2 linked regions of the Macaca fascicularis genome follow. The protein of the gene in region 2 purifies or fractionates together with the protein of the main gene of each other region. This does not show direct contact. Links are inferred from orthologs where the notes say so. Each region holds a gene or a part of one and is shown on either strand. Other genes may lie near its edges.

Region 1 (5,622 bases), on a different chromosome or scaffold from region 2:
TTCTGATTTAAGTTATTTGAGATATTGTCAAACTGCTTTCCACAATGGCTGAACTAATTTTACATTCCTACCAGCAGTGTATAAGCGTTCCCCTTTGTTTGCAACCTCACCAACATCTGTTACTTTTTGACTTTTTAATAATAGCTATTCTGACTGATGTGAGATAGTATCTTGTTGTGGTTTTGATTTGCATTTCTCTAATGAGAAGTGATGTTGAACATTTTTTCATATGCTTGTTAGCCACGCGTATGTCTTCTTTTGAAAAGTGTCTATTCATGTCCTTTTTCCACTTTTTAATTGTGTTGTTTGTTTTTTGCTTGTTAGCTTATTTAAGTTCCTTATAGATTCAGCATATTAGACCTTTGTCAGATGCAGAGTTTGCAAATATTTTTTCCCATTCTATAGGTTGTCTGTTTACTCTGTTGCTAGTTTCTTTTGCTGTGCAGAGCCCTTTAGTTTAACCATGTCCCATTTGTCAATTTTTGCTTTTGTTACAATTGCTTTTGGGATCTTTGTCACGAAATCTTTGTCCATTCCTATGTCCAGAATGGTATTGCCTAGGTTATCTTCCAGAGTTTTTATAGTTTGGGGTTTTACGTTTAAGTCTTTAATCCATCTTGATTTTTGCACCTGGTGTAAGGAAGGGGTTCAGTTTCAATCTTCTGCATATGGCTAGGTAGTTATCCCAGTACCACTTATTGAATGGGGAGTTCTTTCCCCATTGCTTATTTTTCTCTACTTTGTCAAAGATTAGATGATTGTAGGTTTGTAGCTTTATTTCTGGGCTCTCTATTCTCTTCCATTGACCTGTGTGTCTGCTTTTGTACCAGTACCATGCAGTTTTGATTACTGTAGCCCTGTAGTATAGTTTGAAGTTGGGTAATATGATGCCTCCAGCTTTGTTCTTTTTGCTTAGGATTGCTTTGGCTTTTTGGGTGCTTTTCTGGTTCCAAATAAATTTTAAAGCATTTTTTCTTTCTGATTCTGTGAAGAATGTTATTGGTAGTTTGTTAGAAATAGCATTGAATCTATAAATTGCTTTGAGTAGTATGGCCATTCTAACAATATTGATTCTTCCTATCCATGAGCATGGAATGTTTTTCCATTTGTGTCATCTCTGATTTCTTTCAGCAGTGTTTTGTAATTTTTGTTGTAGAGATGTTTCATATCCCTAGTTAGCTGTATTCCTAGGTATTTTATTCTTTTCGTGGCAATTGTGAATGGGATTGCGTTCTTGATTTGGCTCTCAGCTTAGATGTTGTTGGTGTATAAAAATGCTACTGATTTTTGTACATTGATTTTGTCTCCTGAAAGTTAGCTGAAGTTGTTTATCAGATCTAGGAGCTTTTGGGCCAAGACCATGGGGTTTTCTAGGTATGGAATCATATCATTTGCAGACAGAGATGCTTCGACTTCCTCTCTTCCTATATGGTTGCCTTTTATTTCTTTCTCTTGCCTGATTGCTCTGGCAAGGACTTCCAGTACTATGTTGAACAGGACTGAAGTGCCTTGTTCTAGTTCTCAAGGGTAATGCTTCCAGCTTTTGCTCATTCAGTATGATGTTGGCTGTGGTTTTGTTATAGGTGGCTCTTATTATTTTGAGGTATGTTCCTTCAACGCCTGGTTTGTTGAGGGTTTTTAACATGAAGTCAAGCTGAATTTTATCAAAAGCCTTTTCTGTATCTATTGAGATGATATGTGGGTTTTGTTTTTAGTTCTGCCAAACCTTTTCTTTTAAAGCCCAACGAATAAAACCCATCACGTTTCACAAGACCACCCCAGCAAGCAGGCAGGAGAGCTAGTATTAAAAGTGAAATCTTTTGAATTTGTAGTACCTTTTCTTTTCCAAATCTAGCTGAAATTTCTCACTTGTTTTCCTTTCGATGAAGCTAACCACCGGCATTTCTCCTAAGAAATAGATATAAAAAAGTTTGATATGGTTAAAGTAGGAAGTGCTAGCTCCTAGAATATCTCTGGATATTGCTGTCCCTTGTTACAGAGCATGAGCCCTGCCCAAAGACTGGAGTGTAATGGCACAGAAATGGTCAGGAGCCCACTGAGCCAGGAGTACAGGAGGCTTGCAACAAAGTTTAGCAGGGGCCTGTTGCTATCACTGGGTGGAGGGACAGATGGGAGAACACTCACACCATGGAATCATAGGCAGCCATTAATAAAAATAAAAATAAGCCATATTGTTTGGCTTGTAGGGATTTCCTTGGGTATTGCTGAATTTACATTAGGATGTAAAGAAATGTTGGCCAGGCGTGGTGGCTCACGCCTGTAATTCCAGCACTTTGGGAGGCCGAAGTGGGTAGATCACCTGAGATCAGGAGTTCAAGACCAGCTTGGACAACATGGTGAAATCCCGTCTCTACTGAAATGCAAAATTAGCTGGGCTTGGTGACAGATGCCTGTAATCCCAGCTACTCAGGAGGCTAAGGCAGGAGAATCGCTTGAACCTGGGAGGCAGAGATTGCAGTGAGCCAAGATCCTATCACTGCATTCCAGCCTGGGTGGACAGAGCAAGGCTCTGTCTCAAAAAAAAAAAAAAAAAGAAAGAAAAAAAAAGTTAAAAAAATGTATATAACAGGACTCCAAATGTGTATGTTTGTATGTGGTCATGTAAGAAATTGCTAAATAAAATACAGGGTGCCCCAGTTAAATTTTAATTTCAGCAAAACAATCATTGCATGGAACATACTTATACTAAAAGCAATTCTTTGTTTCTCTGAAATTCAAATTTGACTGACTGTCCTGTATTTTTATTTGCCAAATCTGGCAACTCTGTTATATAAGGATGGAGAAAATTGTGAAAGGAAATATACCAAATCGTGGGAGGCCAGGAAAAAAGGCACTAGTAACACCCCCAGCAAATATGAAATCAACGCATTTTTGTAAAATTATATGCTTATGTGCATACATAGATGCATAAGGAAGTTAAAAAAAAAGGTTTTGGCCTACTAAGTCTTTTGTAAGGAGCATGCATCATATACTAAGTGAAAAAGGCAAGTGGCAGAGTAATAGGTATAGTAAGATAGTATGTGCAGAAAAAGAAACGAGTAAAACCTTGTTTAGGTTTGTATACACAAAGAGAGAGCTTTGAAAAGATGCCCATAAGACTGTCCAAATTGGTATCTCAGGGTACGGGTTGGAGAAGTAGGGTTAGCTTTGCTTTTATACTTCTTTAGATGATATTATGTTAACTAGCTCCAACAAAATCTAGTACTTTTGTATTTTGAAAAAAAAAATTTTTTTTAAGTGAGGCATTTAGTCTGGAGCTTAAGAGCATAAACTTTGGAGCTATATACATGGGGACTCAGGCTGGATCCTGCCACCCTCTAATTGTACAGCCCTTGGGGAGCTACTTTACCTTATCACTAAAATGGGGATGAAATACATGCCTATTGTTTATGATGAAGATTATAAAGAGCTCTGCATTGTAACTGGCACACCATGGTTAACAACGTCTAATGTCAATTGTTGTTATTACTAGAAAATAACCTAGGACGGGCGGGGCGCGGTGGCTCAAGCCTGTAATCCCAGCACTTTGGGAGGCCGAGACGGGCGGATCACGAGGTCAGGAGATCGAGACCATCCTGGCTAACACGGTGAAACGCCGTCTCTACTAAAAAATACAAAAAACTAGCCAGGCAAGGTGGTGGGCACCTGTAGTCCCAGCTACTTGGGAGGCTGAGGCAGGAGAATGGCGTGAACCCGGGAGGCGGAGCTTGCAGTGAGCCGAGATCACACCACTGCACTCCAGCCTGGGCGACAGAGCGAGACTCCATCTCAAAAAAAGAAAATAACCTAGGATGTAAAAATCAGGATATTCAGGGAGATGCCTACAAACCCTGATCTTCTTGAAGCAAACCTTGATCTGCTGGAGGTAAGCCACCGACTGGCTTAGGATCTTGACCAAGACATCTCATCTCTGGGCCTCACTGGCATGTCTACACCATGAGAGAGATAGACTGGGTATCCACTGCTTTATTCGTTTACTCAACCGTTTTGGGGCACTTGCTGTATGTCAATCCCTGGCCTAGAAGCTAAAGACACAGAGATGAGGGACCTGGCTCCACCTTCAAAGACCTGGCTTGAGTCAAAGGTGACTCAGTTTCTCGGAGGTGATGCAAATAAACCAGGTGGTAAGTGCTACGAGAGAGTGCATTTGGGCACCCAGAGAAGCAGGAGTCAGAGAAAAGAGCCTTTTCAGTCACAACATTTGTTGTGGCTTTCAGATGTTGGATTTTTTAGAGACACTGTGCAGATGGTGTACAGCACGGTAAGCAGAAAACAGAGGCTGAGTACCTGATGTTGATTTAGGATCGGCAGGGGAAGCAGGATGCCACACTGAGAACATCTCCTTAGAATGTCATAGGCTGTTCTATCTCCTCTAGGGGAGCTGGTCCTGGGTTTGGGCTCTGACATCAAAAGTGGATCCAAGGTTTTGTTGTTGCCTCTTGGTGCTTTCTTTGATGAACTTTCAGAATGAAGAGGAAATCTGTTTATACTAATTGTCTTCGGACGAACATCTTTCTTCATCGTGGAGGTTTGATTTTCAGCAGCTTGACTTGGAAGAGATGAAGGAAGAATTTTTGGCTTTCCAACAGGAAAGCATTTCTTAAACTCTGAGTCCGGACAACATTTACCCTGCAATTGTGAATAATATATCAAATTTTAAAACGACTTCAGCTTTAATGGTCAGAAAATACAGTAGACTAGATAACACAAAAATTCCCACTGTAAACACTGTTATATGCTGTATAAAATGTGACAGACATTCAATTTAATAGCTGGCTTTGCGGGAAAGAAAGAAAATTTTGCATTCCAGGAATGAAGGTCTGACTGGTTGCTATGGTTTGAATGTGTCTCCTCCAAAATTCAGGTGTTGCCAACGTGATGGTATTAAGAGGTGGGGCCTTTAGGGGTGATTAGATCATGAAGGCTCCTCCCTTGTTAATGGGATTAGGGTCCTTATAAATGAGGCTTCATGAAGCATTTGGCTCCAGCCTTCTACTCTTTTGCCTTCTACCATGCTAGGAGGCAGCAAGAAGGCCCTCACCAGACACCAAATGGTAGGTGCCTTGATCTTGAACTTCCCAGCCTTCAGAGCTGTTAGAAATAATTATCTGTTCTTTATTATTACCCTGTCTGTGATGTCCTGTTATAACAGCACAAATGGACTGGTTAAGCACAGGAGTTGACACTGGTTATGGGAGACGCGGGGTCAATTTTGTAACTAGGGGCTTGGATGAGAGGAAATCCCATTCACACAGGAGGGGAATTGGAAGTAAGACTCTATTGACCCTGCATAAAACTGGAAGCTTTAAAGGGTAAATTGTGGTGGGTAAGAGGAAAAGTATCACCTAATGAGAAAAGGAAGGTGGCAAGGAAGCCTTTCTTTCTTGGGCCGGTATTTGAGTGTGGAGAAGAAAACTCATGCCCCTGAAAACTCAAAATCACAGGTCCATGCCATTCCTGTGTTTGGCATTAGGATTTACTTTAGCCTCATGGTCTGGGAATCCCTGAGCAGAAGAATTAACACAAACATTGAGATGTCTGGCAGAAGCAATCACAAAATTCCTCTGGAGGGACAAGAGCCTCAAAATAGGTCATAGAGGA
Region 2 (6,365 bases):
CCGTCTCTACTAAAAATACAAAATTAGCCGGGTATGGTGGTGCATGCCTGTAATCCCAGCTACTTGGGAGGCTGAGGCAGGAAAACTGCTTGAACCCGGGAGGCAGAGGTTGAGGTGAGCCAAGATCACACCATTGCACTCTAGCCTGGGCAACAAGAACGAAACTCCATCTCAAAACAAAAACAAAAACAAAAACAAAACTAGACAGCTGAACTCCTAATCACTGCAAACTGTTTTAGTCTTAACTTTTTATTTTATGTTATTTTTATTTATCTGTTTTTGAGGCAGAGTCTCACTCTGCGGCCCAGGCTGGAATTCAATGTTCCATTCTCAGCTCACAGCGACCTCTGCCTCATGGGCTCAAGTGATTCTCCTGCCTCAGCCTCCCAAGTAGCTGGGACTAGAGGGGTGCACCGCCACACCCAGCTAATTTTTGTATTTTTAGTAGAGATGGGATTTCGCCATGTTAGCCAGGCTGGTCTTGAACTCCTGACCTCAGGTGATCTGCCCACCTCAGCCTCCCAAAGTGCTGGGATTACAGGTGAAAGCCACCGTACTTGGCCCTAGTCTTCACTTTTTAAAAAAACATATATTCTTACCTACAAAGAGTCTACAATTCTGATTTGTTTGTTTGTTTTGTTTGAGACAGGGTCTCACTCTGTTGCCCAGGCTGGAGTACAGTGGCCCAATCATGGCTCACTGCAGCCTCCACCTCCCAAGGCTCAGGTGATCCTCCTGCTTCAACTCCCCAAAGTAGCTGGGACTACAGGCACAAGCCAGCACGCCTGGCTAATTTTTGTATTTTTATTAGAGAGAGGGCTGCGCCATGTTGCCCAGGCTGCAGATATTTTCATTGTATCAATTTCTTTTTTTTTTTTTTTTTTTTTTTTGAGACAAAGGTGCACTCTTGTCACTGAGGCTGGAGTACAGTGGTGCGATCTCGGCTCCCTGCCACCTCTGCCTCCTGGGTTCAAGCAGTTCTTCTGCTTCAGCCTCCTGTGTAGCTGGGACTATAGACGCACACCACCACACCCGGCTAGTTTTTTACTTTTAGTAGAGATGGGGTTTCACCATGTTGGCCAGGCTGGAACTCCTGACCTCAGGTGATCCACCCGCCTTGGCCTCCCAAAGTGCTGGGATTACAGGCATGAGCCACAGCGTCAGGTGTCAAATTTTTGTTGTTGTTGTTGCTTATTTAAAACGGGACCAAATCAGCCGGGTGTGGTGGTGGGCACCTGCAATCCCAGCTACTTGGGAGGCTGAGGCAGAAGAATCACTTGAACCCAGGAGGTGGAGGTTGCAGTTAGCCGAGATGGCGCCATTGTACTCCAGCCTGGACAACAAAAGCGAAATTCTGTCTCACACAAACACACATACAAACAAAAAAAGGGACCGGCCGGGCGAGGTAGCTCACACCTGTAATCCCAGCACTTTGGGAGGCTGAGGCCGGTGCATCGCCTGAGGTCAGGAGTTCGAGATCAGCCTGGCCAACATGGAGAAACTCCGTGTCTACTAAAAATACAAAAATTAGCCGGGCATGGTGGCGCGTGCCTGTAGTCCTAGCTGCTCGGAAGCCTGAGGCAGGAGAGTCACTTGAACCCAGGAGGCGGAGGCTGCAGTGAGCCAAGATCGTGCCACTGCACTCCAGCCTGGATGACAGAGTAAGACTCCGTCTCAAAAACAAACAAACAAACAAAAAAACACCATGCTAATCTTCTTTGAATTGTTCCAATTTTAGTATATGTGCTACCACTGAAGCAAGTACCCAAATCTGATATTCTAAATGTGTTAAAAGTTTGCTACATTATTTGATAATCAAGAAGCTTAGGACAATTTCTAAAAATATATGACAACTAGTAACATATTATTTTTACTATCTTACATTAGGAGAGAGCAATACAAGAAAATGAAACATGAGTATCCAATAGAGGCCTGCTTTGTCAGCTGAGTTGACCTGAATCATACTGGATTTTACAGTACAAACCACTGATATGTATAAATACATATATGTGCATAAATATGTGTATGTACCATTGGTATATATTTGCCTATGTTGATATATATATTTGTGTGGGAAGGTGTGAACTTTAAAACTTTTCAATTATGAAATCAATACAAATTTATAACAAATTCAAACCGTACATTAGGTCATGTGAAGTGCAAAGTAAAAAGTCTTCTACCTCTCTTCTCCATAAGTAACTACTGTTAACATTTTTATTGTGTATCCTTCAAGAAACTATCTAGGCAAATGCAAGTATACACACATACATGTGAAGGTGTGTATATAAATCTAAACTGTTGCCACTTCTTGAATGTGGGGGTGGGGGGGAAGCTCAAGTACTCCATAAGCATGTTAAATACATTGAAATACATAGAAAGTGGTACCACAGTCACTGGTACAAAGTATTATACTCTTCAGAAATGTGTGTTGAATTGAATACATTTAATTTTCATGCTTGGAGGCGATATGGAGCAACTGTGCAAAGTGATGGGCAAGAAGCCAGATAACATGGGTTCTAATTTAACTAGTTGGATAGCCTTAAGCAAGCTATGAAATCTCCCTAAGCCGTTGTTTCTGGTTTTGTAAAAGGACAGGGTTTGACTAAGATCCCTTCCAACTCTAAAATGTTATAATTCTAAGATGGCCGTCTGTAACACTGTTCATTGACTGTAATAAATATTATGGGGAAAAAAAGGAAAAGAAACACTACTGAAACCTCCAGTCTTACAAATTTCTGTGAGTCATTAAACTATCAAAGTATAGTTGTGACAGAACTAGCGACATAATTATATTTGAAAGCAAAGTAGTAGATTATTAAAATCTGATTGGTTGGGGTTTTTTTTAACAAAGCTTGGGTTGACGTTTTTCCTTTTTCGGAGGTGGAGAGTGCTACTGCTTAGTTTGAGAATAAACACTCCCCTCCCCGAAAAGAAAATAATTTAAGTGTTATGGAGTTAAAATAATGAAACAAAATCAAATTACATTTTGTTTTACAGAACATGCCGGAGAGGTGACTGGGAAAGCAGATTGGAAAGAATTACCAGCTAATTTCCTCTTCCGGAAGCTCTTTGGCCCTTATTCTTTCTGTTTCATATGCCCTCTCCAGACACACTCCACCCTGCTCCACACAAGCCACAGGTATCACAAGGGGAGGAAATCCCTTTGATCATATTTTTTAAAAAAGTTATTTGCCTCAATTTACCTTAGGTGTCACAGGGTTTAGGAAGGCAGTCCCGCGGGCCTGAAGTCACCCACCCACTCACCCACGCCTGCCGTCGGCAGTCCGAGGAACCCGGGCAAGCAGCCGGGGCCAGGCCACCTCTGCCAGGCGGGCGCGGCCTTCCCGCCCTCCCCAGCAGCGCCGGCCCGAGGGGAGTGGAGGGGAAAAGAAGAGAGGGGAGGGAGAAGAGGGTAAGGAGGGAAAGCGGAGGAGGCGAAAGCCTACACAAGCTGTACCCACCGCGCCAGGACAGCCGGCCCGAACTGCCCCGCGGCGATCAGCTCGGTCCAAGGGGAGGGTCCCGGAGGAGGCGCGGCCCGAGCCCCAATCTGGAAATGCCAACTCCGTTCTGCGGCCTGGCCCCAGCCTAGGTGAAGGAAACGGAAGTCCCTTCGTCTCCCTCACGCGCCTCCACCGGTCTGCCCATCCGCTGGAGAAACCCGGAGTCGTGAAACCCGAAGTTTGTCCACGTCAGGGCCTCAAAGAGACACCAGGCGCTGTCCGTCAGTCTCCGGGCCCGGGCTGCGCCACTGGGCCCCGGCTGTGTCCTTCCCACCCCCGGCCGGGAGGTCAGCCTCCTGCCCTGCAAAGCCCCTCCTTCTTCCCCCCCCTCCGCCATTTTCCAACTTACCACTTGAGCCGGGCGTCCCTCGATGAGCGCCACGCCGGCTCCGGGCACCGCCAAGGTCCCCCCACCTTCCCGAACCGGAAGGGGGCAGTAAGAAAAAATGAGGCCCTTGCAACCCCTAACCCCACCCCCCCGCCCCCCCTCCCAGCTGGAACCCAGAACCTGACCTAGCGGGCGCACATGCGCAGTGAGCACCTCGTACTCTCCGCCCCTAGCTCCTGCGTTTCTTCTTTTGGCCTCAAGGATGGTTTTTCCCACGGTTTTTACCTGTTGGGCCCTGGGGTTGAGGAATAGGGGAAGAAAGGCACAAGGACGGAAAAGAGGAGGAGAAGGGGCGAAAATGTTGAGTTCTTACTATAGATCAGGTACTGTGTTAGGCATATAACGTGGTCTTTGTTGTAATGTTGACAACCCTGTAAGATAAGCACTGTCTCTGGGGATTTAATAAGCCCATTTTACAAAGGAAACTGAGACCCAGAGGGGATAGCTATCCCAGTATCACGCGGCTAGTAAGGTAACTGAGGTTAGAATCGGATCTTTTTCCAAGAAGGAAAGGATGAAGGGGATGACAAGAAAAGGAGACCCTGGGGGAATGGCGGGGGTTAAGATTGGGAGGTGAAGGGAAAATTAATAGAGGAAAAAGAAAGCAGATGGACAGGAAACAAAGGAAGTCTGTGTACATAAAATGCTGAAATAAATCCTGGATTTATTTCAAATGCGTTGTAGGATTGTCAGATCAACATAGGAATTTTTGTTTCAGGAAAATGGGATCTTACAGGGTAATGTGGTGAGATGATGGATTCTGAATATTTCATTTCAAATGAAATCAAGTGATGCAAGATATGATCCTCCCTTCACAACAAGGGAACTTGGGAGGGAGGAGAGGAAAGACTTTTCTTAAAACTCTTAGTTGCATGTTTATTCTCCCCTTGGGCACCCTACCCTATCTTCTAACAAATCAGAACTACTCGTTGTGCCTGCCCCCCCATCCTCGTACACAAAGCCTTCTCTGATTTTCTTAGCTGAAGTTAATCCCTTCATGCTCTGAACTCTAGTGGCACTTCTCTAATTTTTGTTTTTGCTTTTTTTTAAGCACTGTTTTTTTCTTGTGGTAAAATGTACATGACATAAAATTTACTGTTTTGGCTGGGCGCGGTGGCTCACGCCTGTAATCCTAACACTTTGGGAGGCCGAGGCGGGTGGTTCACCAGAAGTCAGTAATTCGAGACCAGCCTGGCCAATATGGTGAAAACCCGTCTCTACTAAAAATACAAAAATTAGCCGGGTGTGGTGGTGTGCACCTGTAATCCCAGCTACTTGGTAGGCTGAGGCTGGAGAATCGCTGGAACCCGGGAGGCGGAGGCTGCAGTGCCGAGAGCACACCACTGCACTCCAGCCTGGGTGACAGAGCCAGACTCCGTCTCAAAACAAAGAAATAAATAAAAATACATAGGACGGCCGGGCGCGGTGGCTCAAGCCTGTAATCCCAGCACTTTGGGAGGCCGAGATGGGCGGATCACGAGGTCAGGAGATCGAGACCATCCTGGATAACACGGTGAAACCCCGTCTCTACTAAGAAATACAAAAAATAGCCGGGCGAGGTGGCAGCGCCTGTAGTCCCAGCTACTCGGGAGGCTGAGGCCGGAGAATGGCGTGAACCCGGGAGGCGGAGCTTGCAGTGAGCTGAGATCCGGCCACTGCACTCCAGCCTGGGCTACAGAGCGAGACTCCGTCTCAAAAAAAAAAAAAAAAAAAAAAAAAAAAAAATACATAGGACGGCCACGGTGGCTCACGCCTGTAATCCCAGCACTTTGGGAGGCCGAGGCGGGCGGATCACGAGGTCAGGAGATGGAGACCATCCTGGCTAACATGGTGAAACCCCGTCTCTACTAAAAATACAGAAAATTAGCTGGGCGTGGTGGCAGGCGCCTGTAGTCCCAGCTACTAGGGAGCCTGAAGGAAGGAAAATGGCGTGAACGTGGGAGGCGGAGCTTGCAGTGAAGAGAGATAGCGCCACTGCACTCCAGCCTGGGTGACAGAGCAAGACTCCGTCTCAAAATAAAGAAAGAAAGAAAATTTACCATTTTAACCATTTTTCAGTGGCAATAAGTGTATTCACATGGTTGTGCGACCATCTCCAGAACTTTTTTGTTATACTTGGCACTTAAATTTGTCCCTCTATTATGGAGCAGAGTGCTTTCTGCCATGTAGTATATATAGCACTTGTGTACACACCTTATCTCTCCTATGTTGTAAGCTCATTTATGGCAAGATCTATGTTGAACTCATTTTTGTAATTCCTATTCCTCCAAAACCCTTAGAAGTCATCTTTAATTCCTTTCTCTCATATCCCACATCCAATCCATCAGCAAATCTTGTCATCTCTATCTTCAGAATGAATCCAGAATATAACCAATTCTCGACTCCACCATTATGACCTTAGTGCATCTCTCTCGGACTGTAATAGCCTTCTCACTGGTCTCCCATTTACATCCTTGCTCCTCTCCAGTCATTTC

The links.
Region 1: the proteins of XIAP (region 2) and XAF1 purify together in Homo sapiens (affinity purification with western blotting; 5 studies listed by BioGRID). This does not show direct contact. The link is inferred for Macaca fascicularis from reciprocal best matches to the Homo sapiens genes XIAP and XAF1.

The regions. Positions count from the first base shown.
Region 1 is NC_088390.1:6,804,459-6,810,080, reverse strand, and holds part of XAF1 (XIAP-associated factor 1), read right to left. Parts: intron 4,651-5,622; coding exon 4,309-4,650; intron 1,909-4,308; coding exon 1,852-1,908; 3' UTR 1-1,851. UniProt on the Homo sapiens protein: Seems to function as a negative regulator of members of the IAP (inhibitor of apoptosis protein) family. Inhibits anti-caspase activity of BIRC4. Induces cleavage and inactivation of BIRC4 independent of caspase activation.
Region 2 is NC_088395.1:130,086,545-130,092,909, reverse strand, and holds the start of XIAP (E3 ubiquitin-protein ligase XIAP), read right to left. Parts: upstream 3,924-6,365; 5' UTR 3,853-3,923; exon of another isoform or gene 3,589-3,852; 5' UTR 3,462-3,588; exon of another isoform or gene 3,204-3,461; intron 1-3,203.